Linked DNA regions of Macaca fascicularis. The protein of the gene in region 1 binds, or shares a complex with, the protein of each later gene. Links are inferred from orthologs where the notes say so. Each region holds a gene or a part of one and is shown on either strand. Other genes may lie near its edges. The genes, in order: RAD18, UBE2B and MAGEA4.

Region 1 (10,144 bases):
TCACATAGCAGTTAAGTTATAAAACTGTCTGTAATAAAGCCAGTGATAGAATTCTCCCACTGGGGAAATACTGCTACAGAATTTTTAAACTTTGAAATTCTATATCAAGTACTACTTGATGGAACCACCTATCTGTTACCCTGTTAAAAACAAAAATTCTGAAACTTAACATCAAAAAGCACTTTGGCAAATAAAGAATCACTTATTGTGACCAAAAATTTTACTGCCATAAATGCTATAAAAGGCATAAACATATCAAGGAGGAACGAGGTAGAAAATATAGAAGCCTTGTAAAAACCTTCAATATTCAAGAGGAAGGCAGTGAAAAAGACCTTCTGAAAAACTACAAGATAGAAGAGCTAAAGGTGAAACATAAATATGTGCACGTATCTTTGGTGTTAAATTAACACTACCTCATGTAAAAATCACAATTTACTAACTCACAGGAACAAAGCATACTTACAGTTATGTGAACACTGAGGTATTATCATTGCAATGTTGAAATACTCGAAGCAAATTCCACACCGCAGCAAATCATCTATTGTCTGTAATGCAAATGTGCATATATACGTATCAGAAAGACATCAAAATTGGAAGTCTTGTCACAAAAGTTTTTCTCTATCCCCTAAAAAAAATTCAAATTCTTTGTCAAATACACAAATTCAAAAGCTAACTCCAGATAAACTGCAAGGGATCTTGACAAATAAAGAAAAATTTCTCTCATATGACTCTTATACATTCAGTCTCAGGTTGCCCAAATCGCTTTAGACAGCTAAAGATGATGGTGCACCGATTCTTGTGCCATATTGTCATCCCTTCACATAAAGGCTACTGTACTTCTGTTCCACTTCTAATGCACTTCCAGCTCTTACTCCAAGCCTCCTCCTCTTCGGATTCCAATACTTAGCCTATAGTCACTATTGGGTGAAAGGTGGCCATTGCCACCACACAGGTTAAGAATCAAATCAAAGAATGTTAAAGCCAAACACTAGAAACTGTCTAGTCAAAAGAGGAAACTGGTATCAAGAGCAGGCACAGAATAGTAGGCATTAGTCAAGTCAAAACCAAAATTCCTGTCTCCCTTCTGGCAGTCTAGTGCTTTCTGCATGGTACCACGCAATGGAGCCAAATGAGGAAGCCCGGAAAGAGCTGGGGCAGTGAAAGCAGAGGAAGGGAAAGTGGACAACTTGGAAAGAGAGATGTGTGCCAACCTGGAATGCAATCCAAAAGGAAAGGAACTACTTTTGCAACTTAAAATCTTTCAAATTGTTTAAAATAGTATTCCATTCAATGGAAATATTTTTTAAAAGGAGGAAGCTCTCGGCAGGAGGATCACTTGAGTCCAGGAGGCGTAGGCTACAGTGAGCCCACACCACACCACTGTACTCCAGCTTGCATGACAGAGCAAAACTGACGATGCTCTCCTTCATACTGGTATGAAAAGATTGCCAAGATAAGTGAATAAAGGAAATAAGGTACAGACAGTACATATTCTACGCTACCGTTTTTTTAAAGGAAGAGGTGAATAAGAATGTATTTTAATAGGCCTAGCATGGTGGCTCTTGCCTGTAATCCTAGCACTTTGGGAGGCCAAGGCAGGAGAATTGTTTGAGTCCAGGAGTTCGAGACCAGCCTGGGCAAAATAGCAAAAATCCATGTCTATAAAAAATTTTAAAATTCGTTGGGCGTAGTGACGCATGCCTATAGTCCCAGCTACTCAGGAGGCTGAGGTGTAAGGATTGCTTTAGCCCAGGAGTTCAAGGCTGCAGTGAGCCGTGATTGTCACTGCACTCCAGTATGGGCGACAATGAGACCCTATCTCAAAAAAGAAAAAAAAGGAAAAAAGAATGCATTCTGTTTTCATCGTAAATATAAATTAATTATGAGAATATAAACAAGAAGTCATAAATAATGATCAGGGCCAGGAACATGGTAAGAAGACGACTTTTACTTTTTATTTTATGTGTATTTTGAACCATGTGAACCTATTACCTGAATTTTAAAAATTTAAACAAAAAAAGACTAATGTCACTAACGGTTCATATGATGAAATATTAGGCAGTCATTAAAGAACATGCTTTCAAAGGATAATTAATGCCATAGGAAAATAAAAATCAGAAAATAAATCTGTGCCAATAATACATAACAACTCTGCAGTTTAATCTTCAGAGCAATCTTACGAAGTCCACAGCATCAATATCCCAATTTTAAAAATAAAGCCTACAGAGTTCCTAAGTTGGCTGGATCAAACCCAAGAAGTTGACTCCACAGTGGTCCCAAATTTTAAATGCATAAAAACCAAAGGAAAATAAAGTAAAATGTTAAACACTGGTTCTCTGGGTGGTAGAATCATGGATGGTTTTATTTTTCTCCTTTATCTTACTCTGAATTTTAATTTTTTTCTACTGTGTACACATATTACATTTACGATCTGCCAAAAACAGTAAATTTTTGTTAAAGTAAAACCTGCCAAAATCTTCCATTATTGTGGATGGTAAGCTGTCACAGACACAAAAATTAAGAGCAGAGGCAGGCCCAGAAGCCAGAACTAGTCTATCATATCACACTTTCTTATCTATGCCATCCTCTTCTGGTGGAGGAATGATTCTGAAAGATCTGTAGCGCACAATTTGTGGAAGTTGACACTACATCAGATGAGCTATTTCTGTTAAAATTTCTGGTCATGTCACTCCAAGACAGTAACATGCATATCACATGTGCCTCAACCAACCAAACAAAAAATGATGCCTAAATAGAGAGTGGCCAGCAGATCCCCCAAAATTTCTTTACTTTAGAGAGAGAGAAAGTGAAAGAGAGAAGTAGAAAACAGGTGGAAAAATGTAATAATTACAAAAATATTCTTTAAGTTTTTGGGGTTACAGATTCCTTTGAAAATTGAATGAAAACTATGGACTCTCTTCTCAGAAAAATATACATACAAAAATTTTACAAATAACTTGAGACTCCAAAGTCTTTCTGTGGATCCTAAGTTAGCAACCATGCATTCTGAGTCAGACTTCTATTCAATAAAAGAAGTAACTTCAGTCAGATCTGCTTCTGGGATCTGATAGTTCTTTGTCCCTGGAAGAATTCAAGCAAAAATTAAGTGAGAAATTGGCAGATGTGTTATACAAGAGGTTAAAATACTGAAAGGGACTGGTTTTCTAACCTTAAGATTCCATGATTCTAATGTGAGCAAAAAATATGGGCTCAATCAACTCTCTGGTTGAACACTCACTGAACACCCTGTGGTGCCAAACTCTACATTCAGTGCTGTGGTGGGATACCAAAGTCAGAGAAGACATGGAACCCGCCTCTAAAGAACACTGAAATTGTGGGAATATGTAAAGTATGCTTAAATCTACAAAGCAGGAGCTTTACAGGTTACAGAGCTCTTTTACTTTCCTTATCCAAGTCAAGCTTCATGACAACAAATTAAAAGGGGAGAGAAGCACTTAACACCGTGCTAATAATAATAAAATACATTCATTGAATGCTTACTACATTCCAGATACTTTCAATCAAGCAACAAATATTTGAGCACCCACTTTGTGTCAGGCACTGCATTAAGCACGTGAATACACAGCAGAATCTGTGCCCACATACATCAACTAATTTATTTAATCAATCCTATGAACTGTTTATTTTTGTCTCTAATTTATAGTTGAAGAAATTCAGGCTCAGAGAGGTTAAGTTAATAACTGAAGGTCACACAGTTAAGAGGCAGAGAAGAGATTTCACCCAGGACCACTGGAACTCATATCTGTGCTCTTCTCCACTGCATCCTGGTACCAAGCCCACCACAACTTCAAAACTACAGTTTTCTTGGATCATTTCACAATGTCAGCTTCTCGTCATGCAGGTATCTCAAGTCCGCAAGCACTCTAGACGTCACTGATAACAGCAGGAAGAACAAGGCCTACTTACTTTAGCCTTCACTTAATTCTAAAGTCAAATTTATGAGTCAGTGGGACAGATACTATAATCCCCAAGTCTACAAAACTGAGGAAGAGAAGAAGGCTACCTTAGCCACTGTCAGAAACGGAAATAATCACAGAGCAAGAAGAAACTAAGCAACTGATTTTTAGCCAGCACAGCAAAGTGCATCTGCTCTTGAGCAAATCCAGGGCCCACCGCTACTGTAAATGGAAACTGGTATGCCTTGCTGAAACCGAAAGTGGCCACAAAAATAAATGTTATTTAAGTGAAATCATTAGATGCAATGCAAGATCAGCGCTGGGCCTGAGTCCTGATCTCTGTTTAAAAGACGGAGAGATGAGCAATTGTTAAAGAAGAGTGAGGGTGTGTTAGAGAGGAGTTGGGGCAGCATGTCACAACAAACTAGCACTAGGTTTATTGAGAATAATCAGAATAAATGAAAGAGCCTGTAAAGGAGACTACCTGCTCGGCTACGTGATTACATACATGTTATCTGATAAACTTTCCACCCAAAACCATGTCCGGTGTCACTGTTTAGTGCTTGACACAAAGTAAGCTTTCAGTAAAGATCAGCTGTCGATGTCACTGTTTAGAATAACTGCTCTTCTCCCAGTTATTGTTGGGATTGGATCGCAGAATATCTGGTTCCATAAGACTGCCAACCTCAGCTCACCAGGCTTGTCCTTGGCACTTATCAGAGGAGTAAACTGAGACCCAGAGCCACGCGGTCGGCTAGTGGCAGAGCAGAGCCGGGTACCCTGGCCCAGGGCTACGCTCGCGCCTCATCCTTTCTCCTTAAGGCGAAGACATCCTCCTCAAAGGGAGGGACCTCCCCCCGCAGACACCCGGGAGCTCCCAACCTCTCCGAAGCACTCACCTTCATGACTGCCAGGCCCGGAGGCCACTGAGGCTCGGCCAGGGAGTCCATGGTCTCTCCCGAAGATGCTAGGGGTCCGCCACCCACTAGCCTCTGGCGCTCCAATACCACTCGAAATTCCCCGCGCTACTGCATTACGTCAGCAACCCGCGACGCGCCTGAGGCGGGCGCGGAGCCTGCCGGAAGTTGTAGTAGTATGTGGGCGGGGCGCCGCTTACGGTGCTTGTACTGCGCATGCGCCAGGCTTCTGCCACACTTACCTTGAAGAAAGTGAGTGGGTTAGAAAACCTAGAGCCAGTTGAATGTTAAGAAAAGATAGCCAGGAATCAAACCAAATCCAGACCACGACAGATCTGTCAAGGTCTAAGCTCATGACCCCCTTCGGGTCGCCCACCCTGATCGCAATGACGATCCGTCCCTGCTCTGAACAGAAGTTTTTATATCCATTACTTTCTCTCTCCCATTTTACAACACTGGGAGGTAAATGTTATCATTGTCAGTTTACACAAGAGGAAGGCTGCGCCCGAAAAAAGAGGACAGAGTTTCGAGTCAGATTCCAAATAAGACATCTGGGCTTTAAAAGGGAGCTCTTGCTTTTATTCATATTAAGGAAGGAGACCACTACTACTCCTGCTGCCGTCCTCCCCACACCTTGCCTGGTTCACAAGACAGAAGAAAAGAGAGAAAGCAAACAGTTAGAAAGAAACAAAAGTAAGATAAATAGCCAGACAACCTTGGCACCACCATCCGGCCCTAAGAGTTAAAAAAAAAAAAAAAAAGTAATAATAATAACATCAACCTGGCCTAAACTACTTCTGTTATCTGTAAATTCCAGACACTGTATGAAAAAAGCATTGTAAAACTTTTTGTTCTGTTAGTTGATTCACGTAGCTCCCAGGCATGTTTCCACGCTTGCTTGATTTATCACGACCCTTTCACGTGGACCCCTTAAAGTTGTAAGCCTTTAAAAAGGCCAAGAATTTCTTTCTCCGGGAGCTCGGCTCTTAAGACATGCATCTGCCAATGCTCCCGGCTGAATAAAAAACCTCTTCGTTCTTTAACCAGTGTCTGAGAAGTTTTGTCTGCGGCTCGTCCTGCTACAATATTAAAATTTTAATGTACAGTTTTTCTTCAGAGAGAAGCACTGTTAACTTTGGCATATAGCCTTCCAGATACTTCCTAGGCAGATTGACAAACATTCTTTGCTTGAGCGAACTTTAATCAGGCTCCTGAACCTTCTCTTAGGCCAATCTGTGTACTTCCTTAAAAAATCCAGTTTTAGCAAAAAAAAACCCTGCTAAATCAAGTTACCAAGAATCCCCACCTTTGATATGTGATCACCCTTGATATCTGATGGGTTCCTCATCCTCCACCGTCCCCCAGTTGATGTCTGATCACCCTGGCCTCTTCAGCAAGAATCTACTGTTACCCCTGATGTTTCCTCTTAGTAATTTTTCATGCACTGCTCCCCACCCTGCTTCCTGTCTATAAATTTCCATTTGCTCATGTTGTATTCAGAGTTGAGCCCAGTCTTCACCAATTACAAGACCCAGTTGCAGTGGTCTGTATACCTACTTGAATTGTCCTGATTAAGTCTTCCTTATTGTGCTTTAACAAGTATCACTGGACAATTTTTTTCTTAAACAAGATACAAACATAGATACTTTTTTTCATACATGTTATATTAAATGCATAGCTCTGCCAACTTGAGGGTTTTGTTTGTTTACTTAACCATACCACCATACCTCTTGAGACCTCTACATGTTTGTACATATAAATTTATCTCATTCCTTCTAATAGCTAGATAGACCATAATATGGATGTACTACAATTTATTTGTGTAGTTCTGTATTATGGGGCATTTAGGTTGTTTCTAGTTCTTTTTGCTATTGCAAAGAGCTGCAGTGAACATGCTATCTCTATAAATCTTGGCACACTTGAGTCAAGATATCTGGGGATGATTTTCTATAAATGGAACTGATAGGTCGGTTTGTGTGCTCTCTGTGATAGGTAGCACTAAATGGTCCTCCAGTAAGGCTACACTGATACATTTGCACTTTGACCAAGAGATTATAAGAGTGCTTGTTTCCAAATGTGAAGCACTAATTAGCACGCCACTCAGCCTGTCTGTTCAACTCAGCATTCACCAACTGCCTTCTGTAGGCCTCTGTTGCATCAAGTCTTACAGGCAGCAAGTAGCACAGATGTGGCTCAGGGCAGAACCCTGCAGCTTGCCATGTCATTGTCGCCCCACGTGGTCCATTCACTACTTCATTTCACAAATATTTTCTGAATGCTTACAATGGGCCAGACACTTGAGCTTTCCTGGGAAACAGGCAGAGATCAGATTGTTATTGCCATCTTACAGATGAGGACACTGAGGTTCAGAGAGCTTACGACTTCACTCCTCTGAGCTCTCTTCATAAGAACCCTCTGGCCTCTGAGCCAAAGCTGTAGTAAATTGATTTTTCCCAGCTTGCGCCCAAATACTTGCTGGGCAATCATATTAATACTAATAGCATTTAGAGAAAGGACTTTAATAGCCACTACAATAATAGCTGACATTTATTAGGACCTTGTTATGCAAAGCGCCATTCTAAGTTTTTTACACATATGTACTTATTTGACTTATTCACAGGGCACCCTGTTGGTAGTGGAAGATGAAATATTTGAACTCAGGCAGTCTGGCTCGAGAGTCCATATTAACCACTACAGAATATTCTCATAAGGCCTTCATCATTAGAACTGAGTCTCAGAGAGGCGAGGGGACTCACATAAACCACAGTTTGTGCGTGGCATTGTCCAGGACTGAACCTAGGTCTTTTAACCTCTAGCCAGATGAAATCACCCATTGATTTTTTTTTTTTTTTTTTTTTTTTTTTTGGAGAAACAGTTAAGCAAACCAAGTCAAGGGGCAGAGCCAGGTCTGAGAATCTGAGGTTGTTGGACCTAGTGGGACTCCCAACAGGAAGATGAGGAATGGAGGTTTACGGTGCCCACCCCCGCCCCCCGCTTTGTATCAGCCAATCATAGAACGGCATGCAAATAAATGCCAGGCTGAACTGGAAAATGTTGGATAGTTCTGGATGCGGGAGAAGTGGGGTCTTGGAGAGACAAGGGAAAAGCATCTAAGACCAGGTCCGTGGCCTGAGTAAACCAGTAATCGTTTTTTTCACAGTACTAGTTGGACAAGGTAATTAGGTTTAAGGTGACAAATGGCTGGAAAGGTGAGAGAGGAAGAGAGAGGAGATGAGAAAAAAGAGAAAGAATGGGGAAGGAGAAAGGGAGAGAGAGAAAAGACAGGGACAAAAATGTACTCTTTGCATTCAACCATGGAGACAGATTTGGAAGAAGGCAGTACATGTTGGTCCTGGGGCCAAAATTCATTTCCCTATTTATGGAGAGCCTCCAGGACAGAACCCGGTGCCATTCATCTCTGAGTGTCTGCCAATAGCTGCTGGGTGAGGCTGAATGAATGGATGAATCACCCATTAAGCCCACATTCCCATAAATCTTTTCCTCCCAGGCTGAGCGTTCCTCTTCCTGCCATCTTCAGCAGCACCCAGGGAGATAGATCCCATCTAGCCCACCTCTGAGCCCAGGAAGGAAAGTTCAAGAACACAAACTCACTTTGAGCTCAGGAGAAGGCATTTGTCTTGGGTGTTTATCTAACCCTGGGAGCCATTCTCCTCTTAACAAGCTGCTGTTTGTACGAACTTTCTCCTTCTGTTAGATCAATAAAGAGATTGTACTTCCTTATTCAGGACTAAAAACAAAATGTTCCATGTAAAATAAAAGCAGGCTAGTGTTTAGTGCAATCTTCAGTGGCACACAGCACACAGTGAGGAGCCAGAATAGGATGGCCCGATAAAATACAAGTTGCCCAGTAAATTTGAATTTCAGATGAACAGCACACAACATTTTAGTGTAAATCTGTCCCAAATACTGCACACAACATATTAACCAATTATTTGTTGTTTAGCTGAAATTCAAATATTTAACTGGGCATCCTGTATTTTTATTTGCAAATCTGGCAACCCTAATTAGGGAAGCATTCTCCCAACTGAGTGTGGGACCTGCCCTGGATTAACCTGGGGATGTCCTGTGGCCCCTGAGCTCCTTTCCAGGTTCTCTTCATCCTATTCCTCTCTGCCCAGCACTCTCTCTTCCTTTAGGCCCCATCTTCCTCATTCTAGTTATGGGAAAGGGGATATTAAAGGAGCTCCCTCTCTCCCCTTCCTTCCTTCCTTCCTTCCTTCCTTCTGTCCTTCTTTCCTTCCTTATTTTTTTCTTCCTTCCTCCCTGCCTCCTTCTCTCCCTTCCTCCATTCATTTTAACAAATGTTTATTGAGCCACTCCCCACTTGTGCCAGGTGCTAGAATACAGAGGTGAATAAGACAGATATGGTCTCTGCTCTCTCGGAGCTGGCAGCCTGGGGGCGAGCGTGGAACCAGGACAAAAAAAGAGAGTTTGTAAGAAAATGAGTAAGATAATTGCATAAAACAGTAACTAATGTAAAAACAATAAAAGAGGATGATGAAATAGACAGAGGAGGGGACACTGTAAATTGGATGATCCGGGAGGCTTCCTCTGAGGAAGTGACGTACGTGCAGAGACCCAACTGATAAGACAGAGGCAGCCATGCAAAGACCCAAAGACCCCAGAAATGGAGAGTTCCATGCCTTAGTAAAAAGTTCAGATTTTAATCCATGTTAACTTGGGCAAGTTGTTGACTTCTCTGTGCCTCAATTTTCTCATCTGTAAAGTGGGGATAATATTAGTATTTGCCTTGTAGGGATGTTGTGATAATTAAAGGAGTTATTGTAGGTATAATGCCTAGAAGGGTGCCTGGCAACTACTAAGCCCTGTGTGTCAGCTGTCATTAATATTATGTTGCTATAAGCACAGGTGGGAAGCCCTTAGATGCTTTAGGCAGAGGTGTAATTTACATTTTCCAAAGGTCATTCTAGCTGCTGGGTGAAGAAAGGATGGGAGTGGAAAGTGTACAGTAGAAGAAGGTGACAGGGGCTGAACCTGGGTGGCACAGTCCGGAGGAGGTAAAAGTGCTGTGGACCTCATGCTTACTGTGGACCCCAGTTCTAGGAAGCAGGCCTTGCCGTGTCCCTGTGACCAGGCCCCTACTTGATTCCTCCCAGACATGGACCCTGCCTTATTCTCTCCCTCCCAGCCCTGGGACAGCTAGGTCTTGTTTACACTTACAGACTGTGCCCATTACTCCCTCCACCTGCCTGTTAGACTGCCATCACCTCTGGGAGCTTCTCACTGGGGCCAGCTACCTGTCTGTCACCACAGCCTCTTCTTAGTAGG
Region 2 (10,212 bases), on another chromosome or scaffold:
GAAACTACTGGCAGCTATGTATGTTTATGAAAAAGTTCAGCTCAACACCCTGTCAAATATCAAAGATAACAAAGTAAAAAAGCATGATTTACTCTTCTGGTGTTCACCTCAGAGATATCTTTATTAAGGCCACCTAAATTTAAACTATTCTCAACATAAACATTGCCATCTTGGCTTACAGTTCTACACAAAAATATTAAAGTAACCTTTAATACCGGTTACGAATGGAGGTGACCAAGCTGCTGTGGGAAAAAGTCCCTTATAAAGTATAAATTTTCCATAGCTTTACTTTTAACTTGGCCTATTAACCATAGAAAATGGCTTCAAGTAGATATGTTGGTGTTACAATTTTCTACCAAAAAGTAACCTCATAACACTATAGAAAACATAATGAGTATGACTTACCATCTTCAAAAGGTGTCCCTTCTGGTCTGAAAACAAGAAGATTTCTGATTAAAAGAAGTTTCTCATTCTGCTTTTTCTTGATTTTCAAGAATGGGAAAGGATAAATTTACTCCAACAGAAAAAGAGGAACTCATTCTGATGATTTGTGGAGTTTTAAGATAGAGTTTAATAACACTTTAGCCCTGAATTTTCATAGACCCAGGCATAAAGTATAACTTTCATTCTAAGCTTTCTTTTTAGGGTGGTTTTACAAAACCAAACAAAAAAACTTGCCCATAATTTTAGCACAAAAAAACTTTTTTTTTTTTTTTTTTGAGACGGAGTCTCGCTCTGTCGCCCAGGCTGGAGTGCAGTGGCCGGATCTCAGCTCACTGCAAGCTCTGCCTCCCGGGTTTACGCCATTCTCCTGCCTCAGCCTCCCGAGTAGCTGGGACTACAGGCGCCCGCCACCTCGCCCGGCTAGTTTTTTGTACTTTTTTAGTAGAGACGGGGTTTCACCGGGTTAGCCAGGATGGTCTCGATCTCCTGACCTCATGATCCGCCCGTCTCGGCCTCCCAAAGTGCTGGGATTACAGGCTTGAGCCACCGCGCCCGGCCTAAAAACTTTCATTAATGCTGACCAGTCATTTTGTACATATGTATATTCTTTTTTTTTTTTTTTTTTTTGAGATGGAATTTTGCTCTTGTCCCCCAGGCTGGAGTGCAATGGCACATTCTTGGCTCACTGCAACCTCCTTCTCCTAGGTTCAAGCAATTCTCCTGCCTCAACCTCCCGAGTAGGTGGGATTACAGACGCCCAGCTAATTTTTGTATTTTTAGTAGAGATGGGGTTTCACCATCTTGGCCAGGCTGGTTTTGAACTCCTGACCTCAGGTGATCCACCCGTCGCAGCCTCCCAAAGTGCTGGGATTACAGGCATGAGCCACTGCACCTGGCCCATATGTATATTCTTAAGAGGGAAAGTCATCTTTTCATTTTACAGCAATAAGAAGTAAAGCAATACTCTAGTTATGATGCTAAACCCAAGTGTCCTGCTTTCCAATGGAGCCACAACTTTTGTTCAAATAGGCTAAGCATAGTTGATGTCACCAAAGAGCCAGATTTGTTTGCTCAGATCCTTGCCCCCACATCCCAATTTCATCTTTCCTAAGCAGCAGCATAAAGCTTAATTATTACTTGCAAGGCATATTCAGGATCTCAAAGCAGCAGGATAATATCCTGAAGGTGCCATGTATTCAACTCAGATTCAGAAGTACTTTATGAGGATGAACTTCACTCATTTTCCACTAGTCTTTAAATGTAGACTCTTGTAGCTGATTCTGTAGTGTCAGAATTCTGTTTATCAACATATTCCTTTTACTTTTTAATGCAAAACTCTAGTATCAAAGGAATGAAAGAAAAAAATAGATCAAGTCTAGAAAAAACAAAAAAAAGCATAAGGAAATTTTAAATTAAAAAGCATATATGCAATATATATAGTAGGTAAAATTTACAGCTGCTTCTCAAATGGCTGCATTCTGTTATTTTACACTGGGCTGTGAATCATTTTCACTTAAATTCTTGCAGCAGTGGAAGTTCTTAATATTTTTGGTTCCAAACCTTTTAACAGCTCCAACAGAATGAGAGCATTTGCATGATATGTTTTATACAAAGTAATTTATTGTTTCTCCTTTATTATTCCATTCCATTTAGTTTTGAGTAGTATCTTAAAAGTAAAACCCCAAGTGATTATAAAACCATATGTAATAACATCAAAGAGCAAATAAACTTTGTATAACTGCTGAAACTTTTTCCCTTTTTTTTTTTTTTTTTGGATAGCTGGCTGCAGCCTCAAACTTCTGGGCTCAAGTGATCCTCCTGCCTCGGCCTTCCAAGTAGCTGGGCACCACCATGCCCAGTTAGTTTTATACTTTTTGTAGAGACAAGGTCTCTCACTATGTTGCCCAGACTGGGCCAAAACTCTTTTTTTGGTGGAGAGGGGACAGAGTCTCACTGTCTCACTATATCGCCCAGGCTGGTGATGAACTCCTGGGCTCCAGCGATCCTCCCAGGCGTTGAGCTACTGTGCTGGGCCAAAACTCTAATTGAAAAAAATTTTTTTCTAATTTATCTTGCAGTTTTAGTCCTTAAGATCTCTCATTCTACCTCAGTTTCTTTTCCTAGACAGTTGTTATATGTTCACTTTTCTTAAAGATTCAGCACACACCTATTATTTGTTAAACCTTTCAACTCACCCAAATATAACTGCATTCCACTGCATGATGTTGTTTTCAGATGGTGCACCACTGACACCCACAGGTGGGTCCTCTTGTAACCTAGAAATCCAGCGTTGTAATTTAAAAAGTTGAACATTAAGGCCACTAAGGAGGCCACATAAACACCTACAGACACTACACCATCTATTTTGAGACACAGACTAACTCCATTTCCTTGTTATTGTGAACTAAAATGAACCATATGACTTAGATATATTAACCAGGTATATATACTTATTAAATACCTCTCCAAATTACCTAAAAATCCGAAGGGCTTGAGAATCATCCCTCTTTCAATATTATCAAGAGTATCTCTTCAAGAATTGATGTATATAGACTGTCCTCTTATACCAAAAAAAGTTTAAAACCTCAAAAGCAAGTAATATTTTTACAGAACCATTGATTTTGCTGCTCTAAACATGCAAAGACTGTGTATCCTAACCACGGCTACTTCTGCAAAATGGCTACAAGAAAAAAAAAAAAAGCAAACCTCAGTGTAAACACGAAATGACTGAAAACACATTAAATTTAACTAGGAAACTAGTATTAGGCAGCAGATTTACTCTATCCCTTTTGCTTCAAACAGCAATGGCTTTAAAAAGTAATCAGTAGGTTTTCCGCCAGTCCCTATTTTAAAGGCTCTGCACTAACATCAAATCTACCTCTCAAATCAGGAGACTCAATACAAGGCTTTCCCACATTCGTCATAGTCAAATTCTTGTAACCTATAGATCTCTGGAAAACTACAAAAGGTGCCATGTATTCAACTCAGAATTAAGCAGAGCATTACAGTAAGGAGCCAGGGCGACAATGACATGAACTAGTTTACTATCTGAATTTTAGTCATGAGTGCTAATCAGATACACTGATTTCAAGCTTTAGAAAAATGACTTTTGCACCAAAAAGGGCATCTCCTTTCAGAGACTGTAACCTCAATTAAAAATGCTACATTATACACACTCACAAATACATATGGAGTTGTTTTCATGGGGCATCATAATTTGCAACTAGTCCACATAAAAAAAAAGGTTTTTAGTCAATCTCAAGCAAATTAGGCCACCACAAACAGAAGCCTTAGAGGAACTGCACTGCTTGACGCCTACCTTTAAATGGCTAAGAGAAGCTACGAATGAATTAAATAAGTTGGCCAAATCCAAATGCCTCACATAGGCTTTATAATAGCTGAGAGGTGACTTCCTGAGCGACAAATCTATGTTTTTATGCTATTTTGTTCAATTAGGGTAGGTGTCCCCAGAAAAAATTTTAAGAAAAATGTGCAGAATATCAAAATGTTTTCTCACTTATTTTGTTTTTTCTACGTTATTTTGTTTTTTCTACGTCTCTAAGTATCCAATAAAAGGTAAACTAACGGAATAATCATTTTCTTCCTCACAACCCCAATACCTCCTAACAAAACCCTATTTTATTTACCAAAGAAGGCCCAGGGAGTATCAAATTAGCGCCAGTCTAAGGGAAGGCATTTTTCCAGACTCGGGAGGCTATAGATAGGGCTTTCTTCACCAGCCAGATCTGAGTTCCAGAAGGCACTGGCAGCCGGGGTGGCCAGCTCTAAGGTCCCAGATCTCTAAGTCAGTTCCCAAGGTCTTTTCAGGCGGGCGGGGACAGAGTCGGGTTTCGGGGGATGGGTTAACCTCCGAGCCTCACGCACTGGACCCCACCCTCACGGCAGAAATGGAAAGGACTGGCGAGGGTGGGGGGCTGGGGAGGTTCACCCCAACCCGGCTCCTCGGAGAAGACTGAGGGGCCGTGAAACAAAGCTGACTGGTGCTGCCGGAGAAGAACAAGCTCCCGCGGGAGCTCACTTTGAGGGGACAAGAAAGGGTCTCCGCAGGGTGCAGGGGCGGGAGGATGATGTCTGATCCCCGTCTGATCCCCTGGACGAGACCCCGGGCAGCTGGCCGAAATGGGCAGCGGGGAACCCTAGACCAGTCGATCGACATCGTTTTACTTTTTGGGGGGAGGGGAAGCAGTATCGAAATTTCTTCGGGCGCCAGAGCGAGCGGCAAGGATAAGGAGAGTAGGGGCCGAGGTAGGACCCGGCTTCCGCCAGTCCCCCTGGGCCCACAGCCGGCCCTCTGAGGGTCACAAGGGGAAGGTGTCCGGGATCCACGCCCTGCAGCCCCGCAGCTTTGAGAGGCCGTCATCTATGCGAAGCTGAAGGCCCTTACCGCTTGAAATCCCGCATAAGCCTCCTTCGGGCCGGGGTCGACATGCTCCGCAGCTGCCCCGCGGTCAGTCTGAAAGAAAAGAGTCCCGCGCAGCCCCCCCACCCCCCGGCGCGGCGGCCGAATCACTGTGGATCGCCGCTGCCGCCGCCGCCGCCGCCGCCGCCGCCAAGACTGACAAACAACCCTGCAATGACGTCTCCCTCCGCCGCCTCCGGATCCCTCCGCCCTCCGCCGCTACCACAGAGTGAGTGCTGGGGGAGGAGGGGGCGGGACGGGGGAGCGCGCGTTCCCTGAGCCCTTCAGCGGGGCGTGGTTCTTCCTGGGCTTCCTGAAGTGATCGACAAATTTGTGTTCTCTGTGTTCAGACTAGAGGTTGTGGATTCAGAGACCACGAAACCGACACACTATCCTGTCTGCCTCCCCGTCTCTAGTTTAGGCTCGGCGGGGTGGAGAAAGAAGGACGTATCCGGGCCAGGGATTTCAGGGAAAGGAGGTGGGATGATGTAAGATCACGTGACTGCCCGCGGCCTTGTCAACAATCCACCCCTGAGGGGGAGGGGGAGAAGTATCTAGAACCACGTGTCCCTGTGACGCGTTTAGAACGGGTCACGTGAGAGCCTCGCCTGGATGTGAGTTTCGGCCAGGTCTGTGAAGCGGGTCTAAGAGGGTGAGGGCTGGATACACCTTTATTAGTTGTTTTCGGTTTATCACAGGTATAGAGACATTACCCAAGAGGTCGTGGGAGGATCAACAGCTTGTTTTGTTTTCTTTAAACCGGGACCAAAAATAACTCCCCTCTGGTTGGTTCAGTGGCTTATGAACTCTGGTACTTGGGGCAAGAAGAGAGAGGATCGCAAGATCTTCTAAGGCAGCATTGAATACTGAGGGCCACACAACAATCTCCTGAAATGGTTCCTTGAAGCTACCAAATAGTCTTTCTGCTTTGCAGTGGGGTTTCTAGTATTGGAAATTCTGGGCAAACATTAAAGGATGGTGTATTATGCAGTTTTTCCTTTCTGGGTCTGCTTTCAATTGAAGATATGTGTCAGAGTCCGGGGACTTGCCTATGGGGGGGAGTACCATTGTATTTTTAAGAATGTGGGGGTGCAGTCTTCCAAGCATATCAATGAGTGGTTGGTTGTCAAAGAAACCTACAAATATGATTCATATGTGGGGGAGAGCTCCAGCAGACCTGAGTGAGGGTTATCTATCCAGCCTGAGACAACTTCAGGTTTTTTACACTAGCAAGAAAGGTGCAAATGGGCGAGAAGTGCCCCCCCACCACCAGGGGGTTCAGAGGTGTTGACCTCCCACAGACCTTGAATATTTTTTGTAGTTACTGTCTTTCCCTGTATTGCTGCTAATTCCTACTTTCAGGACTTTGTTATACTAAGGACTCTGAGTACTTTTGTATCCATTTGGGGAATTGTTCGGTTCAACAGGTAAAGGGAGGGTGGAATGAGGACCTTAGCATTGCCTCAACCTTGCCCCTAGTTCTATGGAAGCAGAGTTAACTTTTCCGACTTTCCTTGTACCTCTTTCTTCAAACCCTGAATTCTCTCAGCTTCCAGTGACTGCCTTAGTGATCAAGTTAGCCAGGCCTAACTCTTGATAGGTCCTGTTAGACATTCACAATGTGTTTTCTAAGTTAAAAGCTGAATATTCTTAATGTTTTTGCTTTTCTGCCATTGCAGTCCTAACCCTTCCAATAGCAAAGGAGGAAGACACACAGGCAGGGTTACATGGAGAAAAATGGTAAATAGAAACTATATCTTAAAAATATCCCTCATGAGCTGGGGCATTAGCTCATGCCTGTAATCCTAACACTTTGGGAGGCCAGGAGTTGAAGACCAGCCTGGGCAACATAGGAGATCCTGTCTCTGTGCACACGAGTAGCCCCAGCAACTCAGGAGGCTGAGGCAGAAGAATCGTTTGAGCTGCAGTAAGCCATCATCATGCCACTGAGACCCTGTCTCAAACCCTGCAACAACCAAAAAACCCTTATAATTTATCAGTCTAGGCAGTCACTGAAAGCAGAGACAGAATTCAGGGTTTGAAAAAAGGGAGGTACAAGGAAAGTGGGAAAAGTTAACCCTTTCTGGTTCCATGGAACTATGGGCAAGATTAGGGCAATGCTGAGGTCCTTCTCCTACCTCCCTTTCCTTGTTGAGCTGAAGAATGGATACAAAAGTGCTGAGTCCTCCTGACGCACCAACAAAGTCCTAAAGATGGGAACTGGAGGCAATGGAGTTTAGGAATTCCGTGACTACAGGGATTTATAATTGTTTCGGAAACAGTTTAAATTTTCCAAAATGAATTAACACTTTTAACTAATTCAGTGCATGTGCATCATAAAGTCTTACAGCTGTGTATTAGCAAGAATCACTGGCTGTTCTGGTTAACCAGGCCTGCCATAACCTACTTGTAGAAGGAATAATTTTAAAGCTATTAATTGTATGCTGTTATCAATTCTGTAGCTCTGGATTATGAGTTCATTGAGGGCAGGGACTGAGTTTGGTTCATCTTTGTCCTGGGCAATGTTTTTTTATTTTTTGAGACAGAGTCTTGCTCTGTCACCCAGGCTGGAGTGCAGTGGTGTGAAGAGGGCTCACTGCAGCCTTGACCTTCCAGGCTCAAGCAATTCTCCTTCAGTTGCCCAAGTATCTGGGACCACAGGTGTGCACCACCACACCCGGCTAATTTTTTGTAGAGACGGGGTTTTGCCCTGTTGCTCAGGCTGGTCTGGAACTCCTGGGCTCAAGTGATTTGCCCACCTTGGCTTCCCTCGGATTACAGGTGTGAGCCACTGTGCGCAGCCTCCTTGCAAATATTTTGCCCACAGCAAATAATATGCTTACACGAAGTTTGAACCCACTATAAGATTTACTATGACATTCTTATTTATAGAAGGTGTTTTATATTGTGGTTGAATAACATTCTTTTTTTTTTTTTTTTGAGACGGAGTCTCACTGTCACCCGGCTGGAGTGCAGTGGGGCGATCTCGGCTCACTGCAAGCTCCGCCTCCCGGATTCACACCATTCTCCTGCCTCAGCCTCCTGAGTAGCTGGGACTACTGGCGCCCACAACCGCGCCCGGCTAATTTTTTGTATTTTTTAGTAGAGACAGGGTTTCACCATGTTAGTCAGGATGGTCTCCATCTCTTGACCTCGTGATCCGCCCGCCTCGGCCTCCCACAGTGTTCAATTACAGGCGTGAGCCACCGCATCCTGCTGAATAACTTTCAAATAAGACAATTCTGAATATTTTAGGTGATCAGTGAAAACGATGACCACTTCTCCTTTCTCTCAATATAAACCGTAGCAGCATAGAAAACTTGAGAAGCTTCAAACATACTAATTTATTTACCCTATCTCAATTAAATCAGGCTCTCTGGTGTTGGGGCGGGGGTGTGGATGTGGGAGTTGGGAGTTGCTTTCTAAAAGCTCTCCAAGTGTGATTTAAATATGCATGCTGGGGCGGTACCCACCGGACTAGAATTTATTAAGTATTGCCTTTCCTCTTATTTAGTGGAAGCATGGCGAGATTTCGCTTTTTACATTTAACTCATTTTATAGAAAAAAAGCAAAGAAAGCCCTATTCAATAAAGAAAGCACTCCCTAGGCACTTGCTCTAGTGATACGGTGGTTATTCATTAGGGACTGTCACTCCAGCTGAACTCTATGTCTACTTAAGCAGTTAAACACTGGCCTCTTTATTTCTGCGCTCTTGTACATCATTTCGTATATGGTGGAACCCTTCGAATTACTTGCTTCCCTAGAGTTTGACACGTGGTGAGGGAGGTTTTTTCCTTTAAAAAACATTACTAGCAGTTGGAAAAAATTTAAAGGCGTATGGCAGGTGTTCAAGAAAAGTTTTTAAGAACCATCTTGACCGGGCGCGGTGGCTTAAGCGTGTAATCCCAGCACTTTGGAAGCCTGAGGCAGGCGGATCACCTGAGGTCAGGAATTCGAGACCAGCCTGGCCAACATAGTAGAAACCCGGTCTCTACTAAATATACAAAGCCGGGCGTGGTGGCGCACGCCTGTAATCCCAGCTTCTCGGGAGGATGAGGCAGGAAAGTCACTTGAACCCGGGAGAAGGAGGTTGCAGTGAGCCGAGATCGGCGCCACTGCACAATTCTCTCAAAAAAGCAAACAACAAAAAAAGGCAGACCCTCCCTATCCCCATTCAAAAGCAACGTTGTGAGGAGGCTCAGCTGTGACAGCGACCTGTACTCCCCGCCCCCATTCCCAAGCGCAGCACTCTTCCACCCTCTGCCTACCCAGAGCAGGTTTCCGTTTCTTCTCACTTCCCCTTCCGGGTCAGGACCCTGCCCATGTTCCGGTCTTGCGCACGAGGGCTAGAACGCAGCAACTCTGCTGGCGTTTCCATGGTAGCGAGTGGCCTGATCTTTGCGGGGCTAAGCAACGAAGTAGTATCAGTGTTCCGTAGCCCCACTGGAACTACGCAGAGCCAGGCCAGCGGGACCACAGAATGGGCTGAGGCGGCGGCGGCTCTTTGGATAAAGTCGACAGCGGGACGTGGGGCGTGACGCCGGTCCGGCATCCTAAGACGTCTGGTTTGAGTTGCGGGCGGGATCAGGCTTTTTTTAGGACCTTGGGCCTGATAAGCGGGCGACTGCAGTAGTGCGGGAACCTATTATTTGACAGGAACATGACAGGAAGTGTGGGGACTCCATGCTTGATGGATGGTGACTTATAGTGAAGTAATCTCAGTGTTGATGGGCATGACCGAAACAGCAGGAGTACCCGTAAGTTCTGGTGAGAGTTGGAGCCTCAGAAGGACACTTTACTCAAGCAGTCTTTGGTTCCCAAAGACAAAAAGGCTCAGTGGAAAAGATTCCTTTTTTTTTTTTTTTAATGTCTCTATATTTTAAACTATGAGTTTATTGTGCATATACATTATCTAGTTTGAATAAATAAAAGTATAAACGTTTAACATTTTCCATTTTCTTTCTTTATTTCTATAAAGTAGTAAAAGCCCAGCTTGAAAATGGAGATGTATGAAACCCTTGGAAAAGTGGGAGAGGGAAGTTACGGAACAGTCATGAAATGTAAACATAAGAATACTGGGCAGATAGTGGCCATTAAGATATTTTATGAGAGACCAGAACAATCTGTCAACAAAATTGCGATGAGAGAAATAAAGTTTCTAAAGGTTTGCTTCTTTTGCCTTAATCATCTAAGTCAAAAGAAAAATTGTTATGGAATAAAAAATTGCATAAAAATATTTTAGTTCACACATGTACTGATTCATATTATGTAGAAACAAGTGTAATACGCTATCTTGTCTACCTTTTGTAATTTTATAGTGATACAAGATATATGTGTTTTGGGGTATG
Region 3 (10,002 bases), on another chromosome or scaffold:
CATTCACGAAGAAGCCAAGGAAATCCAAGTAGGGTGTATATATTTTTTAAATTTTACAGAGTAGACTGAGTATGTATAAGGCAGGAATTAAGTATTTTTTAATTTCTTTATCTCACATATCTTACGGTGAATTCACATTTCTAAATAAATACTTACTCCACTGCTGTTATTATGTCCCAATTTACAAAATAGAATGGATTTCCCAATCTGAATAAAAAACAAGACTCTTACACCTAAACTATATAAACAGCAATATATGTGACTACGACTCATAAACTTGGATGCTGAAGTTCATTCAACCATCCATTAAAAGGAACATTTGAACAATTCTAAAAGGAAACAGAGATAAATCTCCAAGTCACCCAATAAAACAGAAACTCACTACTAAGAATGCTGACTACTCTCTTCAAACAGTGAAGAATGGGCCTCATGCTACACAAGGCAGGGGAAGCTGCTGCACAGGGCAGATGACTGGCCCAGCCCAGCCACCACCCCCCTACCCCCGCCCCAGGCCCTGGCTGCAACTCATGCTCAGACTCCCTCTTCCTCCTCTCTCAAAGCTGCTTCACGAAGGGATGGGTAGGAAATGCGAACTCTTGCATTGACCCTGACCACATGCTCCAGGACCTTCACATAGCTGGTTTCAGCCAGGGCCCTTGGACCCCACAGGAACTCGTAGCGTGCAGGATCACTGCCGGGTACCTTCCGGTACTCCAGGTAGTTCTCCTGCACCCACTCTTGGGTGAGCAGTTTCCTGGGCTCCCCATAGACACTGTGCTCCCTCCCATCATACACATCCATCACACTCAGCTCCTCCCAGATTTCCTCCTCAGATGCGGAGTCGCCCTCCATTGCGATAGTGCCCAGGACGATTATCAAGAGGCCTGTCTTGGGAAAGATATGATTACCACCCAGCAGGCCATCGTAGGAGAGGCCCAGGCAGGTGACAAGGGTGTAGGTGTTGCTGGTGGGGTCCACTTCCTTCACGTCAATGCCAAAGATCATCTTCAGGGACTCAGAGGCTTTGCCGAAGATCACAGGAAAGCAGTGCTTGTAATTTTTGATGACTCTCTCCAGCATTTCTGCCTTTGTGACCAGCTCCTTGGCTCGATACTTGAGGAGCAGAAAATGAACCAACTCATCCACCTTCTTACTGAGTGCTTCTCGGAACAAGGACTCTGGGTCAGGAGAGGTGCTTGGCCCCTCCTCTTCTTGGCTGCTGGAACCCTCATTGGGTTGCCTCCAGCAAGTGAAGTTGACGGTAGAGGGTAAGGCGGAGGCTCCCTGAGGACTCTGGGGAGGACCTGTTGACCCAGCAGCAGGCACTTCCTCCAGGGTGCCAGGGACCAGAGGAGAGGAGGAGGAGGCAGCAGCCTCCTGCTCCTCAGTAGCAGGAGCCTGCGCACCCACTAGGCCCAGGGCCTCTTCTTGGGCCTCAACGCCTTCCTCAGGCTTGCAGTGCTGACTCTTCTGCTCAAGAGACATGATGACTCTGGTCAGGGCAGCAGGTGGGAGTGTAGGCAAAAGCTGGGCAGTGGGGACCCACAGGCCTGGGGAGAGAGGGAGCATGTGAGAGGCCTCAGCTGAGAACCGAATCTTGGAGGCTCTAACAAAGGCTTACTTACAGACCTTCTCCTTGGTGCTCCTCTGTGATCTCCAAGGAATCCTGTCCTCCGGGTTGGCCTATCTCCTGAGAACCTAAAGGAGGAAGTGAGAGAGCACCTCAGGGTATAGCCGGCCAGCAGAGGTCGATTCTGCAGGACTAACAGGAGGTGAGGTCAGACTCTCTGGAGTTCCACGTGTCCTATGCCAAGTGGGGCCCTTGGTGTGCATTCAGGGCAAACATTCACTGCTGGCACAGCCTGTGCACCCTCTGCTCTGTGACTTGAGGACACAAGTCTCAGACCAAGGCCTCATTGCCTTGTTCCTGGAGCTCCTAGGAGATGAATCCATGGGCCCTTAGGGTGCCGACTATAAGCACAGCCCCAGTCCCTCAGTGCTATCAAGAGGGCAGGCTGGACTCTGTGAGGTCCCCACTCTCATAGAGTGGATGGTCCACTCTGTGGTCACTCAGGGCCCTCACATTTCTCCAGGCAGGGCCTGGATTCCACCGTTTTGCTGGCCTGAGAAATTCAGATCAAGCACTCACATGCCTGAGAGGAAACAGGACATGAGGGGCCCCACATCTGGCCACATGTGCCTAGGTCCTCTGAAGAATGACAGCAAGAGATGTCAAAATTCATTGGAACCCATGTGTCCTGGGTGAGGAGCCTGCTTGGTCCTCACCTCAACTCCTGGCAGAGCCTGGGACCCTCCCTCTACTGACCTGGGTGCAGCCCCTCAGACCAAGGCCTCCCCCTCCGTGACATCAGTGATCCCAGGACAAGAGAGGGACCTCAGCAGACAGCCAAGCCCATGCTCTCTGGGGTGACAACAGGAGCAAGGCTGATTTCTGTGGAGTCGTCGTCTGCGTTCTGGCCCTGTGGTACCCTCAATCTTCCCTCACATTCCTCACCAGGACTCTTGGCAGATCCTGGGACCACTGTGTCTGTTGACCAGATAGAGGTCTGTGTTGACCTGAGTAACCCTCTGAGAACAAGGTCCTAACCTCACTGAGATCTGCAATCAGAAATGAGGAGCCACATCCTGTCACCCCTGTGCGGGGAGTCCACAGCTGACCCCTTTGGTCCTGGGGTGAGGGTTCTGATGGCCTCCTGTGGGTCACTCATGTTTGCTCCCAACGGGGCCTGCCCTTCCTCAACCCCCAACCCCCTGAGATGAGCAGATATTGCCCCTTTACTCCAAGACCTCATCTTCCTGAAGGTTCTCCAACTTCCTGCCTATGGTACAAGTAAGATTGGCACATAAGGCCATCCCTGCTCTGGTCCCCCCGAGCTAAGAACAGGGGACAGCCAGACTCTGCGGGGTCCCGTCTTTCTGAGCCACAGGTATCCTCAGACCATAGCCCTCTCCTCTCTGTGACCTCGAAGGTGCAGGAAGCATGAGCTACATGTGGCTACCTTGCTCAGGACCTCCCAGGGCCCAGGTGTCCACTGATCTGGAATGCAAGGACCCCTGAGTCCTCCCTCGTCTTCCTTTCCTTGATCCTGGAAGGGCTGGAACCCACCCCTCTGCTGACCTGAGTCACCATCCCTTGGATTCTCGAGGCTAAAAGAGGAGGCACCTCATTCTCAGACGGGGTGGGGTGGGCTCCCTGCCTTGGGATGCTGGGTCTCCTGAGTCCTTCCTCGTCTCCCAGGAGAGCCAGGGTCCTCCCTCTGCTACCCTGAGGCTCTGCTCATGATACCAAGTCCCTTCCCTCCTTCAGCCCTGGATGTGGATGTCAAGATCCGAGTGCCTGATCATTCCCAGGTCTTCCGTCGGTTGACTGCAGGAGAAAAAATGGATTCTGCAGAACGGAATTGGGGATGGGGTTGAGGATCTGGATGGTGGGGGGATGCTGGAATGTGAAAGGGGTGGGAATGTAGGTCCCTCAATTCCCTCTCAGGGTCCTGATTCTGATGCCAGGCAGAGCCTGGGCCCTGCCTTGGGCACACCAAGCTGTGACTCGAGTCCCCTGTGGCTTTAGTGGCAGTGGGAGCTGGGACGGCCTAGCCTGAGTCTTCCCCCGGGTGGTCCAGGGCTGGCAGCAGGGGCTGAGCTCGATTGTTTGGGGTCCTCTATCTGGAGTGGGGGCCTCCTCAGTCCTTCATCAGAGTCTCACCTTGCCTCGTCACAGAGCTTGGGCCTGCTCTCCTCAGTCAATCTCAATTATCCCCTCAGGACCATGCCCTCGATTCTCTCTGACCCCCAAAACGTCCCAGCACCAAGTCTGGGGTTTCCCTGGATTGATAGCAGAAGGGGAACTGGATTCTGCCTGGTGAGGTTGGAGGGCAAGGAATGGGAAATGGGGCAGCGAAGTGGTAGGGGATTTGTGGGAATGGGGGTTAGAGTGGGATCTTGGGGGACCTCAGTTCCCTCTCAGGTTTCTGACTTTGATTCCTGGCAGATCCTGGGCCATGCCCTCTCCTAACCAGCCCTGCCCTGATCACACCAACCTCTGACTCCAGAGTCTCCTGTGGCTTAAACAAACGGGTTGCAACAGGGGCGGTGGTGGGGAGCAGCCCAGCCTGAGAAGTCGGCCTCCTGGGTGGTCCAGGGCTGGCAGTAGGGATGGTGCTGGATTAATTGGGGCCCTCTATCTGGGGGGGGGCCCTTCTGAGACCTCCCTCAGCCTCTCACCTTGCCTCCTCAGAGCCTGGGCTCACTTCTCTCTGCTGATGTCAAGCTCCCCCTAAGGAGAACCTTGCTTCTCTCTAACTCCCAATGAGCAAGTCAGTGGCGTCACATTCGGGTACCAGGGACTTTCCTGGATTGACAGCAGGGGCTGAACTGTATTCTGCCAGGGTGGGGGTTCCGGTGGGAGGGGTGTGGGTGGAAAGGCAGAGCGGAAGGAGATCTGGGTTGAGGTATAGGAGTGGTGGATAGGGGTGGGAATGGCAATGAAGTGGGGGTGGGTCATGAGAGTGGGGATTGCAGTGGACTCTTGGAGGCCCTCAGCCCTCCCTGAGATTCCTGACCTTGATGCCTGGCAGAGCCCAGATAGTGCCCTCTCCTAAGCATCCCTTCCATGGTCACACCACGCTCTGACTCCAGAGTCTCCTGTGGGGACCGGGTGTGGGGACAGGTGGTGGTGGGGTGGGAAGCTGGAGGCGGCGGCCTAGCCTGAGAAGTCAGCCTCCGCGATGGTCCAGGGCTGGGACCTTCTATCAGGGATAAGGGTGTCCTGAATCCTCCCTCAGAGTCTGACTGCCTGCTCACAAAGCCTGGGCCCCCTTCTGTCTGACAATCTCAAGCCGTTCTTCAGAACCAGAACCTCGCTTCCCTCTAATCCCCAATGCACAAGTCAGTGGCATCACATCCGGCCACCCAGGGCTTGCCTGGATTGAAAGCAGGGGTGTAACCAGATTCTGCACGGATGGGGATGAAGGTGGGGGGCATGAGGCTGGTGGGGGGTGTTGGGGAGCATAGGGGCACAGGTGGGGGATGGGGGTACAGATGGGGTTGGGAGTGCGGATGGGAATGGGAACAGGGTAGGGGATAGGAATGGGGTGGGGGACGCTCCACCCTCTCCTAGGGTCCTGATGTTGAAGGTTAGCAAAGCCTGTCCCCACCAGTCTTGCACTGATTACACCAAGCTCTGACTGAACAGTCCCCTGCGGCTTAAGCGGCAGTGGAGTGGTGGGCCCCAGACTCAGATGTCCGCCCACGAGTGACCCAGGGCTGAAAGCAGGAGTGGTGCTAGATTATTTGGGGTCATCCATCTGCAGTGGGGAGGGTCTCCCGAGTCCTCCCTCAGCTTCTCACCTTGCCACCTCAGAGAGCCTGGGCCGGCTTCCCTCTGCCAAGCCCAAGCTGCCTGTCAGACCAAGAAGCTAGCTTCTCTCTAACCCCCAATGCGCAAGTCACTGGCATCACATCCGGGCACCTGGGGCTTCCCTGGGTTGAAAGTGGAACTGGAACCCGATTCAGCCTGGATGGGAGTAGAGGTTTTGGGGTGGGGATATGAGGGCAGTGATTCAGCCTGGATAGGGGTAGAGGTTTGGGGGTGGGGATATCAGGGTGGTGGGAGTTTGGGGAGGATAGGAGTACTGGTGGGGAATGGGGGTGTAGATGGGGTTGGGAGTGTGGATGAAAATGGGAACGGGGTGGGGGACCCTCAGCCCTCTCTTACAGTCCTGAGGTTGACGCCTGGCAGAGCCTGCCCTCACCAGTCTTGCACAGATCCCCCCAAGCTCTGACTCGAGAGTCGCCTGTGACTTCAGAGGCAGTGGAGTGGCGGGTGACCCAGACTCAGAAGTCTGCCCACGGGTGGCCCAGGGCTGGCAGCAGGAATGGTGCGGGATTATTTGGGGTCGTTTATCTGGGGTGGGGGCCTCCTAAGTCCTCCCTCAGCATCTCACCTTCACTCCTCAAAGGGCCTGGCCCGCTTCCCTCCGCCAATCCCAAGCTCCCTGTCAGACAGAGAAGCTCGCTTCTCTCTGACCCCCAACGCGCAAGTCATTGGCTCACATCCGGGCACCTGGGGCGTCCTGGGGTTGAAAGCGGAAGCAGAACCCGATTCAGCGTGGATGGCAGTGGGAGGGATGAGGATGGTGGAGGGGGCAGGCTTTTTGGGGTGGGAGACGGCGGTATGAGGATGGTGGTGGATTGGGGAGGATGGATGGGGTGCTGCAGAGGGATGGGAGTGTGGATGGGTTTGGGAGTGCGAATGGGAATGGGAAAGGGAACAGCGTGAGGGATGGGAAGGGGGTGGGGGATAGGAATAGGGGTGGGATAAGCTCAGCCCTCTCTTATGGTCCTGAGGTTGATGCCCGGCAGAGCCTGCCCTAACCAGTCTTGCACTGATCACCCCAAGCTGTGACTCCAGAGTCCCCAGCGACTTCAGAGGCAGTGGCGTGGTGGGTGCCCCACACTCAGAAGTCCACCCACGGGTGGTCCAGGGCTGGCAGCAGGAGTGGTCCAGGATTATTTGGGGTCGCCTATCTGGGGTGGGGGCCTCCTGAGTCCTCCCTCAGCATCTCACCTTGACTCCTCACAGGGCCTGGCCCGCTTCCCCCCACCAGTCCCAAGGTACCGGTCAGACAAAGAAGCTTCTCTCTAACCCCCAATGCGCAAGTCAGTGGCATCACATCCGGGCACCTGGGACTTCCTTGGGTTGAAAGTGGAAGCGTGGATGGGAGTGGGAGGGGTGACGTTGGTGGAGGGAGCGGGTATTTTTGTGTGGGAGATGGTGGTATGAGGGTGGTGGGGGGTTGGGGAGGATAGGGTTGCTGGTGGGGGATGGGGGATGGAGGGTTGTGAATGGGAATGGAAACGGGGGGGGATGGGAATGGAGGTGGGGGATGGGAATAGGGGTGCGGTAAGCTCAGCCTTCTCTCATGCTCCTGAGGTTGATGCCCGGCAGAGCCTGCCTTCACTAGTCTTGCACTGATCACCCCAAGCTCTGACTCGAGTCCCCTGAAACTTCAGAGGCAGTGGGGTGGTGGGTGCCCCAGACTCAGAAGTCCGCCCATGGGTGGCCCAGGGCTGGCAGCAGGAGTGGTCTGGGACTATTTGGGGTCGTCTATCTCGGATGGGGACTCCTGAGTCCTCCCTCAGCATCTCATCTTCACTCCTCACAGGACCTGGCCCCCTTCCCTTGCCAATCCCAAAGTGCCGGTCAGAGAAGCTCGCTTCTCTCTAACCCCCAGTGTGCAAGTCAGTGGCCTCACATCCGGGCACCTGGGGCTTTCCTGGGTTAAAAGCAGAAGCGGAACCCGAATCAGCATGGATGGGGGAGGGAGGGGTGACGGTGGAGGGGGTGGGAATTTTGGGGTGGGAGACGGTGGTATGAAGGTGGTGGGGTGTTGGGGAATATACCTGGGCTAGTGGGGGATGGGATTGTGGATGGTTTTTAGGAGTTCGAATGCGAACAGGGTGGGGGTGGGAATGGGGGTGGGGAAGGGGAATAGGGTTGGGGGACATTCAGCCCTCTCTTTTGGTTGTGAGGTTGGTGCCTGGCCAACCTTTCCCCCGCCCATCTTGCATTGATCACACCATACTCTGATTCCAGAGTGCCCTTCGACTTCAGAGGCAGTGAGGTGGTGGGTGCCCCAGACTCAGAAGTCTGCCCACAGGTGGCCCAGGGCTGGCAACAGGAGTGGTCCGGGATTATCTGGGGTCGTCTATCTGGGGTGGGGGCCTCCTGAGTCCTCCCTCAGCGTCACACCTTGACTCCTCACAGGGCCTGGCCCGCTTCCCTCTGCCAATCCCAAGGTGCCAGTCACACAGAGCAGCTCACTTCTCTCTAACCCCCAATGCAAAAGTCAGTGGCATCACGTCCAGGCACCTGGGGCTTCCTTGGGTTGGAAATGGAAGCGGAGCCTGATTCAACGTGGATGGGGGTGGGAGGGGTGACGTTGGTGGAGGGGGCGGGTATTTTTGGGTATAAGATGGCGGTATGAGTGTGCTGGGGGGTTGGGGAGGATAGGGGTTAGTGGGGGATAGGGGTGTGAATGGGTTTGGGAATGCGAATGGGAATGCGAACAGGGTGGAGGATGGGAATCAGGGAAGGGGAATAGGGTTGGGGTACGTTCAGCCCTCTCTTTTGGTCGTGAGGTTGATGCCTGGCCGACCCAGCCCCCACGAGTCTTGCACTGATCACTACATACTCTGACTCCAGAGTCCCCTGAGACTTCTGAGGCAGTGGGGGTGGTGGGTGCTCCAGACTCAGAAATCCGCCCATGGGTAACGAAGGGCTGGCAGCAGGAGTGGTGCGGGATTATTTGGGGTCATCTATCTGGAGTGGGGACTCCTGAGTCCTCCCTCAGCGTCTCACCTTCACTCCTCACAGGGCCTGGTCCGCTTCCCTCCGCCAAGCCCAAGGTGCCAGTCAGACAGAGAAGCTCGCTTCTCTCTAACCTCCAATGTGCAAATCAGTGGCATCACATCCGGGCACCTGGGACTTCCTTTGGTTGAAAGCGGAAGCGGAGCCCGAATCAGCGTGGATGGGGGTGGGAGGGGTTAGGTTTGTGGAGGGGTGGGGTATTTTTGTGTGGGAGATGGTGGTATGAGGGTGGTAGGGGGTTGGGGAGAATAGGATTGCTGGTGGGGGTGGGAGAGTGAAAGAGTTGTGAATGGGAATGGAAACGGGGTGGGGGATGGGAAAGGAGGTGGGGGATGGGAACAGGTGTGGGGTAAGCTCAGCCCCCTCTTATGGTCCTGAGGTTGATGCCGGGCAGAGCCTGCTCTCACCAGTCTTGCACTGGTCACCCCAAGCTCTGATTCCAGAGTCCCCTGCGACTTCAGAGGCAGTGGGGTGGTGGGTGCCCCAGACTCAGAAGTCCGCCCACGGGTGGCCCAGGCCTGGCAGCAGGGGTGGTCCGGGATTATTTGGGGTCGTCTACGTGGAGTAGGGGCCTGCTGAGTCCTCCCTCAGCGTCTCACCTTGACTCCTCCCAGGGCCTGTCCCGTTTCCCTCCGCCAACCCCAAGCTGCCGGTCACACAGAGAAGCTCGCTTCTCTCTTAACCGGCAGTGCGCAAGTCAGTGGCCTCACATCCGGGCACCTGGGACTTTCTTGGGTTGAAAGCGGAAGCGGAACCCGATTCAACGTGGATGGGGGAGGGAGAGGTGACGTTGTGGAGGGGGCGGGAACTTTTGTGTGGGAGATGGCGGTATGAAAGTGGTGGGGGGTTGGGGAATATACCGACGCTGGTGGGGGATGGGAGTGTGGATGGGTTTGGGAGTACGAATGGGAATGGAAACGGGCTGGGGGATGGGAATGCGGGTGGGGGATGGGAATGCGGGTGGGGGATGGGAATAGGAGTGGGGTACGCTCACTCCTCCCTTATGGTCCTGAGGTTGATGCCCGGCAGAGCCTGCCCTCACCAGTCTTGCACTGATCACCCCAAGCTCTGATTCCAGAGTCCCCTGTGACTTCAGAGGCAGTGGGGTGGTGGGTGCCCCAGACTCAGAAGTCCGCCCACGGGTGGCCCAGGCCTGGCAGCAGGGGTGGTCCGGGATTATTTGGGGTCGTCTATCTGGGGTGGGGACTCCCGAGTCCTCCCTCAGCGTCTCACCTTGACTCCTCACAGGGCCTGCTTCCCTCCGCCAATCCCAAGCTGCCGGTCACACAGAGAAGCTCGCTTGTCTCTAACCCACAGTGCGCAAGTCAGTGGCCTCACATCCGGGCACCTGGGGCTTTCTTGGGTTGAAAGCGGAAGCGGAACCTGATTCAACGTGGATGGGGGAGGGAGAGGTGACGTTGTGGAGGGGGCGGGAACTTTTGTGTGGGAGATGGCGGTATGAAAGTGGTGGGGGTTTAGGGAATATACCGGCGCTGGTGGGGGATGGGAGTGTGGATGGGTTTGGGAGTGCAAATGGGAATGGAAACGGGCTGGGGGATGGGAATGCGGGTGGGGGATGGGAATAGGAGTGGGGTACGCCCACCCCTCCCTTA

Evidence for each region.
Region 2: the proteins of RAD18 (region 1) and UBE2B are in contact, whole or in part, in a crystal structure (PDB 2YBF), measured with the Homo sapiens proteins. The link is inferred for Macaca fascicularis from reciprocal best matches to the Homo sapiens genes RAD18 and UBE2B. Residues at the interface, in NP_064550.3 of Homo sapiens: Tyr342, Arg343, Lys344, Lys345, His346, Lys347, Glu349, Phe350, Leu353, Val354, Gln356, Ala357, Arg358, Lys359, Gly360, Tyr361; in NP_003328.1 of Homo sapiens: Pro20, Val22, Gly23, Val24, Ser25, Gly26, Ala27, Ser29, Glu30, Gln35, Asn37, Ala38, Val39, Phe41, Gly42, Pro43, Glu44, Glu49, Asp50, Lys54, Leu55, Val56, Leu73, Ser74, Asp151, Ser152.
Region 3: the proteins of RAD18 (region 1) and MAGEA4 are in contact, whole or in part, in a crystal structure (PDB 9BD3), measured with the Homo sapiens proteins. The link is inferred for Macaca fascicularis from reciprocal best matches to the Homo sapiens genes RAD18 and MAGEA4. Residues at the interface, in NP_064550.3 of Homo sapiens: Ser348, Phe350, Gln351, Leu353, Val354, Gln356, Ala357, Arg358, Lys359, Gly360, Tyr361, Lys362, Lys363, Ile364, Ala365; in NP_001011548.1 of Homo sapiens: Ser111, Val114, Asp115, Ala118, His119, Ser158, Lys160, Met161, Ile162, Ile204, Ile205, Gly208, Thr209, Met212, Glu224, Glu225, Val228, Met229, Gly230, His237, Val239, Tyr240, His290, Val291, Val294, Asn295, Arg297, Arg299.

The regions. Positions count from the first base shown.
Region 1 is NC_088376.1:147,214,534-147,224,677, forward strand, and holds the start of RAD18 (E3 ubiquitin-protein ligase RAD18), read right to left. Parts: upstream 4,977-10,144; 5' UTR 4,868-4,976; coding exon 4,817-4,867; intron 626-4,816; exon of another isoform or gene 546-625; coding exon 464-545; intron 1-463. UniProt on the Homo sapiens protein: E3 ubiquitin-protein ligase involved in postreplication repair of UV-damaged DNA. Postreplication repair functions in gap-filling of a daughter strand on replication of damaged DNA.
Region 2 is NC_088380.1:140,906,807-140,917,018, reverse strand, and holds the start of UBE2B (ubiquitin-conjugating enzyme E2 B), read right to left. Parts: upstream 5,023-10,212; 5' UTR 4,894-5,022; coding exon 4,850-4,893; intron 2,721-4,849; coding exon 2,640-2,720; intron 432-2,639; coding exon 406-431; intron 1-405. UniProt on the Homo sapiens protein: E2 ubiquitin-conjugating enzyme that accepts ubiquitin from the ubiquitin-activating enzyme E1 and transfers it to a E3 ubiquitin-protein ligase. In vitro catalyzes 'Lys-11'-, as well as 'Lys-48'- and 'Lys-63'-linked polyubiquitination.
Region 3 is NC_088395.1:157,989,022-157,999,023, reverse strand, and holds the start of MAGEA4 (melanoma-associated antigen 4), read right to left. Parts: upstream 6,604-10,002; 5' UTR 6,587-6,603; intron 5,983-6,586; exon of another isoform or gene 5,964-5,982; intron 1,699-5,963; 5' UTR 1,630-1,698; exon of another isoform or gene 1,626-1,629; intron 1,551-1,625; 5' UTR 1,486-1,550; coding exon 532-1,485; 3' UTR 1-531. UniProt on the Homo sapiens protein: Regulates cell proliferation through the inhibition of cell cycle arrest at the G1 phase. Also negatively regulates p53-mediated apoptosis.